Saccharomyces cerevisiae S288C: one gene and its partners. The gene in region 2 interacts genetically with the main gene of each other region. Each region holds a gene or a part of one and is shown on either strand. Other genes may lie near its edges.

The links. Genes that interact genetically often act in the same process or in processes that back each other up.
Region 1: mutations in KIP3 (region 2) and DYN3 together harm fitness more than expected from each alone (negative genetic interaction), as found in Saccharomyces cerevisiae (4 studies listed by BioGRID, with this or other methods).
Region 3: mutations in KIP3 (region 2) and SLK19 together harm fitness more than expected from each alone (negative genetic interaction), as found in Saccharomyces cerevisiae (4 studies listed by BioGRID, with this or other methods).

What each region holds. Positions count from the first base shown.
Region 1 is NC_001145.3:863,912-867,036, reverse strand, and holds DYN3 (dynein light intermediate chain), read left to right. Parts: upstream 1-1,686; coding exon 1,687-2,625; downstream 2,626-3,125. Other genes in the region: ADE4 (amidophosphoribosyltransferase), read left to right, coding at 1-1,478; sphingosine N-acyltransferase subunit LIP1, read right to left, coding at 2,766-3,125. UniProt on the Saccharomyces cerevisiae protein: Component of the cytoplasmic dynein which acts as a motor for the intracellular retrograde motility of vesicles and organelles along microtubules. May play an important role in the proper orientation of the mitotic spindle into the budding daughter cell yeast.
Region 2 is NC_001139.9:83,354-89,562, reverse strand, and holds KIP3 (tubulin-dependent ATPase KIP3), read right to left. Parts: upstream 4,679-6,209; coding exon 2,261-4,678; downstream 1-2,260. Other genes in the region: CLG1 (Clg1p), read right to left, coding at 224-1,582; ERMES complex subunit MDM34, read left to right, coding at 5,306-6,209.
Region 3 is NC_001147.6:711,239-715,831, reverse strand, and holds SLK19 (Slk19p), read right to left. Parts: upstream 2,967-4,593; coding exon 501-2,966; downstream 1-500. Other genes in the region: LIP5 (lipoate synthase), read left to right, coding at 1-239; TOA1 (transcription initiation factor IIA large subunit), read left to right, coding at 3,289-4,149; PEX27 (Pex27p), read right to left, coding at 4,256-4,593. UniProt on the Saccharomyces cerevisiae protein: Has a role in spindle assembly and stability. Required to ensure a timely exit form mitosis. Essential to maintain pre-anaphase spindle polarity. Associates to the plus ends of the microtubules at the kinetochore and spindle midzone.

The DNA.
Region 1 (3,125 bases), on a different chromosome or scaffold from region 2:
AGTTATGTGATGGATGCATTTTTCTACAACATCGTGGACAAGATGCAGCTGGTATAGCTACCTGTGGTTCTCGTGGTAGAATCTACCAATGTAAAGGTAATGGTATGGCTCGTGACGTATTTACCCAACAACGTGTTTCCGGTCTTGCTGGTTCCATGGGTATTGCCCACTTGAGATATCCTACAGCCGGGTCTTCGGCTAATTCAGAAGCGCAACCATTTTACGTCAATAGTCCTTACGGTATTAACTTGGCACATAACGGTAACTTGGTGAATACTGCATCATTGAAGAGATATATGGATGAAGACGTTCATAGACATATTAACACGGACAGTGATTCGGAGTTACTATTGAATATTTTTGCTGCTGAACTGGAAAAACATAACAAGTACAGAGTTAACAATGAAGATGTTTTCCACGCGTTAGAAGGTGTTTACCGTTTATGCCGTGGCGGTTATGCTTGCGTTGGTTTACTTGCCGGTTTTGCATTATTTGGTTTCAGAGATCCAAATGGTATTAGGCCATTATTGTTCGGTGAAAGAGAAAATCCGGACGGCACTAAGGACTATATGTTAGCTTCAGAAAGTGTTGTTTTCAAAGCTCACAACTTTACTAAATATCGTGACTTAAAGCCTGGCGAGGCAGTTATCATCCCTAAGAACTGTAGCAAAGGTGAACCTGAGTTCAAACAAGTGGTTCCTATTAACTCTTATAGACCTGATTTATTTGAATACGTATATTTCGCCAGACCGGACAGTGTCTTGGATGGAATATCAGTTTATCACACAAGATTGGCTATGGGTTCTAAATTAGCGGAAAATATTCTAAAGCAACTGAAGCCAGAAGATATTGATGTTGTTATTCCCGTCCCAGATACTGCAAGAACATGTGCACTAGAATGTGCTAATGTGTTAGGGAAGCCTTATAGAGAGGGCTTTGTTAAAAACAGATACGTGGGCAGGACATTTATCATGCCAAACCAGAGGGAAAGGGTTTCTTCAGTAAGGAGGAAGCTTAACCCTATGGAGTCTGAATTTAAGGGTAAGAAGGTTCTGATAGTGGATGATTCTATTGTCAGAGGTACTACTTCAAAAGAGATTGTTAACATGGCCAAGGAATCCGGTGCAACAAAGGTTTACTTCGCTTCAGCTGCCCCAGCCATTCGTTACAACCATATTTATGGTATTGACTTAACAGACACAAAGAACTTGATTGCTTATAACAGAACCGATGAAGAAGTGGCGGAAGTAATCGGTTGTGAAAGAGTCATTTACCAATCATTGGAAGATTTGATTGATTGTTGTAAAACTGATAAAATAACCAAATTCGAAGATGGTGTATTTACCGGAAATTATGTCACTGGTGTTGAAGACGGTTATATTCAAGAATTGGAAGAAAAACGTGAATCGATCGCAAATAATTCATCAGATATGAAGGCTGAAGTCGATATCGGATTATATAATTGTGCAGATTATTGATAGATTGTTCCGAACTTGTTCAGTTGTATGTAAAATAGTTTCCAAATGCGCCCATTTATACATAATTATCTTTGTATTCTGACCTAAACTAAATATATATATATATATGCACGTATTAAAAAAAAAAATAAAAGCAAAAAGGTAAACAAAGAGAAGTAATCCGCAACTTGTACAAAAAGAAAAGAAGATAAAAGAATTGTATGTATTAATGGATAATTGTAATGCCTGGGACAAATTATTGTCTCAGAATGAATCCACAATCAACAGCACAGAGACTGCTACGATAACAGCAATCATATATTCCCCATCAAGTAAAACACTGCATCAATTTATAAATATCTGTTTTCCAGAGGGAAGCAATTCAATACTGGATACCACTTTGATTAATTACGCCACCATAGGATGGACCAACGACTTAAAGGAAAATTATTCTGTCGATGTTTACACGCTAATAAGAAACACTGACGATGCACTAGATCTTCTAAAGCCGTTTTTACAAGAACATAGTTCGAAGGTTCGCTGGCTCATATTATTAGATTGGACACTGAACGACCAAAAGTTGTGGCTGAATGAACTATCCTACGCATTCAATAAAATTAAGCAACTGAATGACGATAATGAATTTTCTGTATGGTGCTTAAACAGTGGCGAAATATTAAACTTACAAAGACACACTACAGTATGGCAGTCAGTACATATTGACTTCATTTTGCAAACGTTAAGATCGTTTTGCTATTTTAATGATAGCTCACTATTCTATATATGCGAAGACCATACCGAAGAGAAACGAGAGGAAGCACAAAGGCTTAAATACCAAGAGCTTCTAAAGCATTTTTGTGAAGATAGAGATATGAAAGATCATATTGAAATGGTCAAACGCAGTGAGATATTAATACCGAAGGGGTGCGATTCTATTGGATTGATAAAAACAGTAGACGAAAGATTTGAGCCTACTGAGGTGAAAGAGCAACACTTTTTGGCCCGATATATGGACTTTATACCAACAATTGATAAAATCAGAGAAGATAGGAAAACAACCTCTGGTATCGACCTTGATAAACTATATCCTTTAGAAGTTTTCAAAGTTAATATTCAAGAGGAATTAGGCAAAATGTTCGCAAAATATAGGGAAAATTCGAGGATTTAGGAAAGTGGGCAGGCGATACTTCTTTTATCATGAGCAATTTTTTTCTCTTTATATGTATAAATATAGATATGCACACGCATTTATAAATCCCTATATCAGGGTTGGATTTCTTCTATGTTTATGTATGTAAAAGAAAGAATTCACATGTGATAAATTGTGGAATCAGCACATAGTTCTTGAACCAGCTCAGAGTCTGTGTCGTACCCGACATAAGCTACGTAGCCAGGTTCACCTTTATCTTCGTGAATTGGGTAGTGGACGGGTGGAACATTATCATTCTCGATGATACAGAACGAGAGATGTTCATCATTTGGTTCATAATCTCTAGTGATTCTCTTTACTATAGTTTTATATTCGCCTCTTTTGTCACAACTTGGCCCACCACGTGCCCAAAGCTTGATTACTGAGCCAGACTGGGGTTCTTTGATTGGGGTACAATGGAACCATTCATAGTTAATTCTTGTACCATACTTGAAGTATTCAACCGCAGCGATCAGCAA
Region 2 (6,209 bases):
TTTCGTTTTTCAAAAATTTTGTTAGCTTCCGATTTTCATTTTAGGAAAATATGTTTCTAGATTTTTTTTTTTCAAATTTTTCAATTTTTTTATTATATCTGTTTCGAAATTCTGTTTTCTCATGAGAGAAAATAATAAAATGATAGATTAGAAAGATGATCCTGGGCAAAAGAGAAAGTAATTCGATGGGATCAAAGAAAAAATAAGGAAAAAAAAGTTTTCACTAATACACTGCCGAATACGGAAAGTAGTTTCGCTCAAATCTTGAATGATTTATTGTGTCATCCATTGACTTCCAGCCAAGATGATGACCGTAAGACTGATTATGGACGTGAGGGGGAGGTAATTGTGGAGCGGCAGGTAAAAGTGAGTGTTGTTTTTGTTGTTGCTGTTGTTGTTGACTACTGAAATTGTAGAAGTCGTAATCAAACTGAGTTTCCGAAATTGGTGAAGAATATATATTGGGGAATTGTTGATAGTAATTCAATCTTGGCTGATTATAGTTGTAATAGTTATAATAACCATTCATACTAGAAAATTCAGACCTTGAGTTACTCTGATAAGATGGTGATGAAAACATGTTATGCGGCATCAGCATGGGGGTTTCATAATTGGAAACTGGAGATAATAGGTTGTTTGTGGAAGTAGGCTTCAAGTTGAAATTTACGTTTCTCGTATCACCAACGTTGACAATTGGAGATAATAACGTAGGAACCGCTACAGCAGGTTTGAGTTGATTTTGCTTGAAAATCTCAAAATTCTTGACGAACTCAAAATAAAGAAAAGCACTATCATACAATTCCCAGTTAAATATTCTCAACCATTGTCTCTCGAAATCATTGATAACATTTATCAGTATTCCTGTTGCCTGTGACCATGAGTTATTGGTGAAAGTTTTGTCATCGTTGAACTTGTTTGCTAATATGAACGCAATCATAGTATTTTGATAAATGATATTGATCGAATTGCCACCAATTGAATGTATCCCATTAGATAATTTATTGATATACTTGAAAAGATAATCTATAGCCAAAAAAATAGTAGCTGAAGGCAATCTCGTGGCATTCAACACAGAAGATATGCCCTTGAAAAAAAGATCAGTGGTCTGGTCATCAGTACTATAGTTCGCGTTGAAGGCAACAAAGGCATTTTCCATGATAAATTTTGACATTATAGAAATATCGTAGTCCAAGTTCTCACTGACGCCCCCATTTACTTGGTTAGATTGTTGTGGTTGTTGTTGTCCATCCCGAATCATTTGAACAGGAGGAGGAATAACGTTGCTGTTATTGTTACTAGTGTACATTAGGCCCGGAGGGGGAAGGATAGGTGGTTGCTGGTGCTGTTGAAGTGGTGCAGGAGGAGCATAGTAAGTAGAACTTGGCTGATTGAAGTAACCTAAAGAAGCCATGGATGGCAACTGAGTATGAACTGATTGCGAGGGAACATGACCTAAATATTTAGGCAGTTGCCTAGCAACATTAACAGCAGAAGTAGCCGAACCTTTCGGAAAAGGCAAACTAATTGGATAACCACTAGAATTACCCATCGTTTCAGGATAATACTTGAAAGTATTAGCCATTTCTATATGAAGGGGGGTTTGTTGGGGGGAGGGGGGCTGAAGACGAATTAACTCAATAACTGTCTTAATAATGTTAAAGAAAAAAAAAATTCCTTGTAGTGTATAAGCTAAACGCTAATAAAGCTGGTTTAAATGTGTGAAACGAAGTCTCTTCGAATACTGTAAAATAACCCCACTGAATATACACAAACACACAGAAAAAGGATTAAAGTTAATAAAAAAAAACGACTCGAAGACTTAAAGGCAAACCTTCAAGTAATGCAGTCTCTGTAAAAACAACAGCAAACACAAATTTGCTAAATTTTGCTTAAAAGAGTCTCCTGAGAAACGTTTTCTTTTAATTTGGGTCAATAAAGGAAATTAACCCAGTAAAAGGCTTTAGAGAAAAAAAAAAGGAAGAAAAAACGAGAACGAGAATCTAGTATATGATCCTTGTGCGTTTTTCTTAAAAGATCAATGATTTGTGGTGCTTAGTTTCTTTTAGAATCTCTTAGAAAGTAGGTAATGTGTCTAATGACTAAAAGCAATTATTCACTTTGAACCTTTTCTCGTGCCAAATAAATTCAAAAAAAAGAAATTAAAGAAAAATTTTTCCCGTAACCCGGAATTAATCAACATAAATGCGTTTAATGCTGGCGGAAAGAAGTTATATTCGATAGTTTACGTAGGATATGTATGTTATTTCCTGGCAGTGGCCAGTAGACTTTGATGAGTAAGAAGGGAGGAGCGCATCTTCCTTCTTGGAACCGCTGTAGTCGGAGCGGAGGGGGTCGAGGGCCCCTGCTCATTGAATGTGGTATCTTGCATACTTACGTCCACTTCACTTGCAATGGCGTCTTGATCTTGGTGTAGTTCTGGTTCTAGCTCCGGTTGTGGTTCAATCATAGGGCTGGGACTAAGGTCGGGACTCGTCCACTTTACTTTTTTTTGGGAAAAATTTTGCCGTTGTAGGGTCTCAGCGGGAACAGCCAAGTCAGCTGCCGTCGTGTTTATTATATTTATATTTGTGTTTGTAAAATTGCTATCGGGATTGGCGATAAAAGTTCTGGCAAAAGATTCAAACTCCTCGTCGATATGAACCAGGTCTTGAATTATGGATTCAATGTTAGGTGTCCTATTCATCAGCCACTTTGATAGAAATTTAAATCGGGAGTTCAAACCCGGATCTGACATTAATTTTTCTGTCATTATGGAGGAATTAACCAAGATTTCGTTTCTTTGTAATTCTGATATTTGATTTAAACACGACTCCAAGTACACCAGGTCGTAAGTTTCATCCCAGTCCTCCATCTCTCTTAACTTGTTCAAGTCAATGGAATGTACCTGATGAATGACGGAACTCAGAGTGTCGGTTTCATCAAATTTCATTTCTAACTCGTGTATTTTGTTATAAAGCTGACCACTGATCATTCGGCAATTACTAATCACCGGCTGCATCTCGGCGGCTGTACTTTCCTCCCGTTCAAATAATAGTATCAAATTATCCACTTCTAGCTTGACCATTTGCAAAAACCGCCTTTTACAAAGTATTAATGATTTCAAGGTCTTGGCTACTTGATACGTTTCCACTCCTGCATACGTTTGCTGAACACGATTGACGCACTCGTTAATGGCTAACTGGATCTTTTCTTTGTTTAGTTTGTATTTCGTTAGCTTCAAAGAAATCATCTTCTCTTCACGTTCGCGTAACTCTTCGATTTGTCGCTTTTGTTCCGTAATCATTTTCAAATAAGATCCAACGTGTCTACTCAAAGACTGCTGATTTCTGATTATTTTGGTCTTTATTTCTTTAGCACGATTTGCATATTTCAAAGTATTCAATGTCTCATCATAATGTGAACTGCTGGGCGATATGCAAACAATCATGACTGTTTTGCAATTGCCACCCAGTGAAAATTTCAACAGCCTAGTTAACTTGGAATCCCTGTATGGAATATGACAGCTTCTGCTGCCATCATTCAAGCACAACGCGTTAATGCAATTGCCCAGTGCTAGTAGGGATCTATTTATATTCGCACCTTCGTGTAATCTTATACCACGGTTTCTTGTTGCGGCGGCTCTTTCGCTCCCAGCTAGATCGATTATTGAAAGTGTAGCAAATGTATGTTGCGAGGTCAAGTCTACAAGCTTATTTGTCTGCATGATGTGTATTTGCAGCACTGCATGAGATCGTGAAGATACTTCGTTTGCTTCCGTCGGTGACGTAGTCCTGTTTATGTTTCCCTGGACAACTAAGTCCATCACATCTTCTACCGTATTTGGGTGGTGATACGACAAATTCGCCACTTTGATGTGGTTCTGCGTATCTTCTCTAATGACCAATCTTTTAGATGGTGTCTCTGGTTTCAAAAGGTCTCTGATTCTTTCATTGTATATTTCCAAGTAAGACAGTGAAATCTCGAAGTCTTTTTCGTCCTTCAGGTCTGTAATTTTATTGAATAGTTCCTCCATGGCTAGAAATATGATCCCCGGCTGTGAAGGTGTGCCACTCACAGTATATGTCTTGCCACAACCAGTAGCACCGTAAGCAAATACGGTACTGTTGAATCCATCTAAAACAGAATCTAGGAGCGGGCTGGTGGTCTCTTTGTATACACGGGCTTGGGAAGAGGTTTCATCAAACAATTTATCAAATACAAACTTGATTTCGCCACCGTGCCTTCGACGTTGCGAAGAAAATTTGTTCGTAGCATTGCTGTTATTGATAGAGGACGCAGTGGCCTTAGTGGCCCTTGCACGCATCGAGTTCAGGACCTGATCACTCACTTTGTTCAATGGGTTTCTATCAGCTGGGTCGAATATGAGCATTCTATCATCCACACAATCCACAATTTTACGTATACCCTCCGGTCTAATTACTTTTCTCCTCAGCAAGCTATTTCTTTTGCTCCGCGTAGAACCTTCTTCAGCGTCTATGTCTATATCGGAGTCGGAGTTATTACTCATGGGTAATATTAACGACGAATCCCCCAAACCGGGAAAGTTAGCTTCTGCACCACTAGCTTCATTGACCAATCTTGTTTTTTCCATTGACGTAAAGGGCCTTACTCTTATAGCTACGACTATGGAGGATTGTCTTGTTTCAGGCACGTTCATGTTAGTGTCAATAGTATACAGCTGGAAAGAAAACTCAAGTAGTTAAAGAATGCAATGAAATGATAATCAGATAAACGATGCAATCAGGGAATATGAAAATTTTAATATAAAAAAAAAAAAAGAAAAATCAACAGCTTCGAAACACTGATCTGGACTTTTTTAACCTGCAGATATTTGTTACACGCAGATTATAAATTTTGTCTCTATAGGAACAGCTGAACACTATACTGGATACCGATGTTCTACCGACCAGACGTGAATGTATCTGGTCCTTTTGTATCCAAGGATAAGACAAACCAAACCCATACTAAAGTCATCAAACAAGGCATAATACAGGTAAAATAAACAAAACAAAAACTAAAAACACGGCTAGCTAAGGGAAAAAGTAGTAATGACCTAGGGTGAATAGCTTTTTTCAATTAGGTTTTTCCTTTTTTGTACTATATTAAATAGGGCTAAACTGTTTTAAGCATAGGGCAAAGAACTTATAAATTAGGTTTGAAAAAGGGCCATGAAGCCTTGTAGTAAAAAGAGACCAATTAGAAGAGTCATGGAAGATTCGTAAAACATAGAAACAGTAACAATTATAACAAAAAAAACACAACTGCAAGAAACTTCAGCATCGTCATGTCATTTAGATTCAACGAAGCTGTGTTTGGTGATAACTCTTTCAATGAACGAATACGGGAAAAGTTATCTACGGCTTTGAACTCACCGTCTAAAAAGAAATTAGATATCTTGAAAAGCGGAATTAAGGTACAGAAGGTGGATTTTCCTACAATACCACAGCTAGAAATTCTGGACCTAGACATTATCACGCAGCCCAAGTCTCTGGCCAAGGGGATTTGCAAGATTTCATGTAAGGATGCTATGTTGCGGATACAGACAGTCATAGAGTCGAATCTTTTATTGATTAACGAACAGGATACACCCAGCTTTACCATGCCCCAGCTCATCAATAATGGATCGTTCACAATTCCTATAACTATGACGTTCAGTTCCATCGAGCTAGAAGCCATCACGAATATTTTTGTAAAGAACCCTGGAATTGGGATATCCTTTAATGACGTTGATTTGGATTTTAAGTTTGATTGTTCTGTAAAAATTCTCCAAAGCACCATTGAGAGAAGGCTAAAAGAGTCCATGCATGTAGTGTTCAAGGATGTTCTTCCTTCTTTGATCTTCAACACGTCACAGAACTGGTTCACCAATCGCGGCGAGAGCACCAGTACCATCCCTGGTAAAAGAGAGCATCATCATCAACAAACTACAATGTCTAGGAATGTAATCTTGGACGGATCAGATTTTCAAGAGCTTTCTCCAATAAACATGCTACGTCTTTCAAGCATTGTGTCGTCGAGGTCAACACTGTCACTACATTCCACTGTGATGAATTCTCTTTCCGCTATACCTGGTTGCTTGGAAAGACAAAACTTGTACAGATTTATATCAAGGATGCCCTCTTTAAACAATTACTACTCTTCGCAATCATTTCCACAACCAAAGTCATCAACCGTATCATCAAAACAAT
Region 3 (4,593 bases), on a different chromosome or scaffold from region 2:
CTTTGAAGGATTTGCGCAATATTCAATGTGATGTTGTTACATTTGGTCAATATATGAGGCCAACCAAGAGACATATGAAAGTCGTAGAATATGTGAAACCCGAAAAGTTTGACTACTGGAAAGAGAGAGCTTTAGAGATGGGATTCTTGTATTGTGCATCTGGACCCCTAGTAAGATCGTCATATAAGGCTGGTGAAGCATTTATTGAGAACGTTTTGAAGAAAAGAAACATGAAATAATGCACACTGAAATCTAATAGTTGGAAGAAAACAATTATGGCATGGACCGCAATGTCTTTGCTTGCTGGATTATTTATTTATATCTTGTATTTTATTTATTTTTATGGTTAGTATGTTTTTGCATATTTATTTTTAACACAGAAAAGTTAGGAAACAATATCAAATATTCGATACGAATTTGTATATTTACGGTATATCCTTAATATTTTATTCTCATGACATATTAAGGGAAAAGATAAAATGCAAAAGAAAAAAATGCGTTTATTTTTTTTCATTTTCTAACAACTTGAGTAACTCCTGCTTTTCTTCTCTTTCTGAAGACAGCTGCTTGTTCAATTGCTCGATTTCTTCTGACAGAGTTTTATTTTCTAAATTTAATTGATCAAACTTATTTTGGTACTTGTTTTCATAGCCTTTTTTCAACAGTTTGACCTTTTGTTCGTGTTTGGATGAATACTGGATATACAAATCTTCTGCTAATAACTTTAGCCTTTTATTTGTATCTTTTTCTTTGGCCTCATACTTTTCTTTCCAATCTTGTACTTGTTTTCCTAATGATTTAATTTTTTCATCATCTCTATCCTTTTGATCATTGCTTAAAGTAACGCTATTATTGTTATTATTATTTTGTTCCATTAATACTTCATTTTCTTTTGTTAATGTTGTTATCCTGTCGGATGAAATCTTCAATTCATTTTGAAGAGAAATAAGGTTTTCATGAAGATTTTCCAATTCTTTGATGTGCTCAGCCTGAATGTTACTATTTTTTAGTTGTAAGCTTTCTAATTCTAGCGAAGTTTTTTCGAATTTTTGTTTCTCCAGTTCACACTCATTTTCTAGTTTATGAACTTTGTTTTCTAGTTCCGTAATTGTTTCTTCCAAATGCAATTTTGATTCCTTTAGATCTTCAATATCTCCGTTCAACTCTGTAACTTCGGCATTGCGTATCTTAGCTTCGTCTTCGACAGTTTCGTATTTACTTTGCCACATCTTAAATTCATCATCTTTTGAAGTGATCTGTTTTTTTAGCTCGTCCATTTCACTATTCAATGAATCAATTTCAGCTTCTTTTAGTTTTAGCGTCTCCTCATTTTTAATTAATTTATCCTGTACTACCTTCAAATTATCGTCGTTCAGGTTATTCAAATCATCCATTTTTTGTTGCAAGTTGTTTTTTGTAGATATTAGCTCATTAATTTGTCCTATAAGGTCAGAGTCGTTGAAGTCCTTAGAAATCGATAAAGTTTCCTTCAAACTCAATTTTAAATTATCTAGTTCGTTCTCTTTAGATTTCAAAACAATATCTGTGCTTTCAATCTTATCATTCAGTTGCACAATGCGAGAATTCAAGTCATTTAACGTGGTCTCATATTCGGATAATTTATCATTATTGCCTTTCAATTCTGCTTTCATATTTTCCAGTTCTACATTTTTATCATTTAAAATTTTCTCATTTTGCTGCAAAGTGTTGACAGTATTTTCATGTTCGCCCTTTATATGATTTACTTCAGTAATTGAGGCATCGAATTTTTCTTGTAATATTTTTTGGTTGGAATTCAATACCTTAATTTCTGTATTCAACTCCTTAATCCTCTTTTTGAATTTTTCCACCTTGGCAATATCGCTCTCTCTTTCTGTATTTAGTTTATCTAACTTTTCATTTGTCAAATCTATTAGTAGTTGGTGATTTTTGTTCAATTTCTCGTATTGAAAAGACAATGATTCATTTTTGGAAATCAAAGAGTTTAACATTTGATTTAAGTGATATATCTGATCAGTGAGCTCCTCGTTTCTTTTTGCTACAATCTGAAAATTGTCATGTCTAATATCAAGTTGGTTGTCATCATCGTAGTCATTCCTCCCCTCTTCATTTGAGTTCGACTCCCTTGCAGAAGTCTCATACAAAGGAGTAAGCCTGTTTATATGAGAATTTGTTATATCATTTTCTTCGTCCTCCTTTTCCTTATAAGCATTGTCAATATTAACCACATTGTTACTGTTAGATTTTATGAAGTCTTCCTCTTGTTGTTTCTCATTTATATCATTTTCTAATTTAAGTGTGTCGGTATTGATATTGAAACTATCGTTTCTTTCAACTCCGTCGTTTATTATGAATTTATTTGGGCTTATGTTGGTCTCAATCATATCAATCGCCATTGGAGACGACATAATTTCTTCTTTGTCATTAATGATATCTTTAGTAGAGCTTTGTTTCAAATCAGGTACTGATTCTAACTGCAATTTCAATTTTTTATTAATATGGCTACCTTCTTTATCATTTTCATCTACGTCCACGTTTTTGTCGCTTCGTTTCTCTGAGGAGTTCATTTCAACTCTGATCGGTGAATAATTCAATGCAAGGACATGCTTATCACTAGTACTTGCGCCTCCTTTATCATCATTGGTACCTGAATCTGATTTTTTGTCATCAAACATTTTATTTATGTCTATATTCTCTAATGGATTGGCATTATTCTTGTTGTTAAGAGCTGATGACCTACCGTAATCAATCGAGCGGTCTAAATCCTGCTTCTCATCTTTCTCCTTCTCGAGCGGTTCATGAGGATGTATCACGAACTGGGAGGAACCAGGAGAGTTAAAGCTGGAATCCGGTTCGGAATTAAACGTGCGTGGGTTACGTTCTTGCGAACAGTTTTCTGAATTCTGCTCGCGTTGCTGAGCTTGCCCTAAAATAAGCCTAACTGGAGTGGTAGGAACTTCGTTCATGAATTACGATATGTGCTCAAAACCTTTTTTAACTGGGTGCCCCTTGACACCAATGATGCTCTTTTTAGTTAGTGTCCTTCAAATGAACCATTAAAGAGGAACTCATCGTACACTCTGAATTATAAATAAATAAATAAAGAATATAAATTAACGCGAAAAAAAGCTTCGTCAAGTATGATGTGAGACAGTTGAAGAAAAGATGAAGAAGCCAAATAACAAGGTGGATAAAGCCATACGGCATATTATCGGGGGCAAGCTCAAAGAAGAAAAGCGATAGTATCACACAAATCAAGGCCATACACAAGGGACATCGTTGGATATCATGTCGAATGCAGAGGCCAGCAGAGTGTACGAGATTATCGTAGAGTCTGTGGTAAATGAAGTAAGAGAGGACTTTGAAAATGCGGGTATCGATGAACAAACTTTACAAGACCTAAAAAATATTTGGCAAAAAAAGCTCACAGAGACGAAGGTAACTACTTTTTCATGGGACAATCAGTTCAATGAAGGAAATATCAATGGTGTACAGAACGACTTAAATTTCAATCTTGCTACCCCCGGCGTAAATTCTAGCGAGTTCAATATTAAGGAGGAGAATACCGGTAATGAAGGTCTAATTTTGCCAAATATCAATTCCAACAACAACATACCGCACTCTGGAGAGACCAATATTAATACGAATACGGTAGAAGCAACTAATAATTCAGGTGCTACCTTGAACACAAATACTAGTGGTAATACAAATGCGGACGTAACTAGCCAGCCTAAAATTGAAGTAAAACCGGAAATAGAACTTACTATTAATAATGCCAATATAACTACCGTCGAAAACATAGATGATGAAAGTGAGAAGAAAGACGACGAGGAAAAGGAGGAGGACGTGGAAAAAACCCGCAAGGAAAAGGAGCAGATAGAACAAGTAAAATTACAAGCGAAGAAGGAAAAAAGAAGTGCATTATTAGATACGGATGAGGTCGGTTCAGAACTAGATGATTCCGACGATGACTATCTAATTTCGGAGGGTGAAGAGGATGGGCCAGATGAGAACTTAATGCTGTGCTTATATGATAAAGTCACAAGAACAAAGGCGAGATGGAAATGTAGTCTGAAAGATGGTGTGGTGACCATCAATAGAAATGACTACACATTCCAAAAAGCTCAAGTGGAAGCGGAGTGGGTATAACTAAATCTTTAGACGTAAAGAAGAAAAAATGTATATATACAAGTACTATAATATCAAACTAAAAAAACGAAATAAAGAGGGATGCAACGAACTTGGTCATCTGTTGTCAAACAGCGCTTGTATGTTCATTAGCCGAAGTGACTTTGGCTCGGTTCCATAGCTTAAGGAGTTCAGTAACACCGGAACCTACTGAAATTATTTCGTAAGCTAGCTCTGAGTTATATTTGTCCCTTTTACCTTTAATATTAATTAGATTAGACAATAAGTTTAGTATTATCTTATAAAAATCCAATGTAATATTATTTTTCCGTAACTCCAAATTGACTTTGTCATTGGTAGGTAGTTTGTACTTTAACTCGTATTCCTTTATTGCATTACCACTGGTATTATAGATACTTAAATAAATTTCATCTCTTATTAGCTGTCGCCATTGTTCAATGTTTT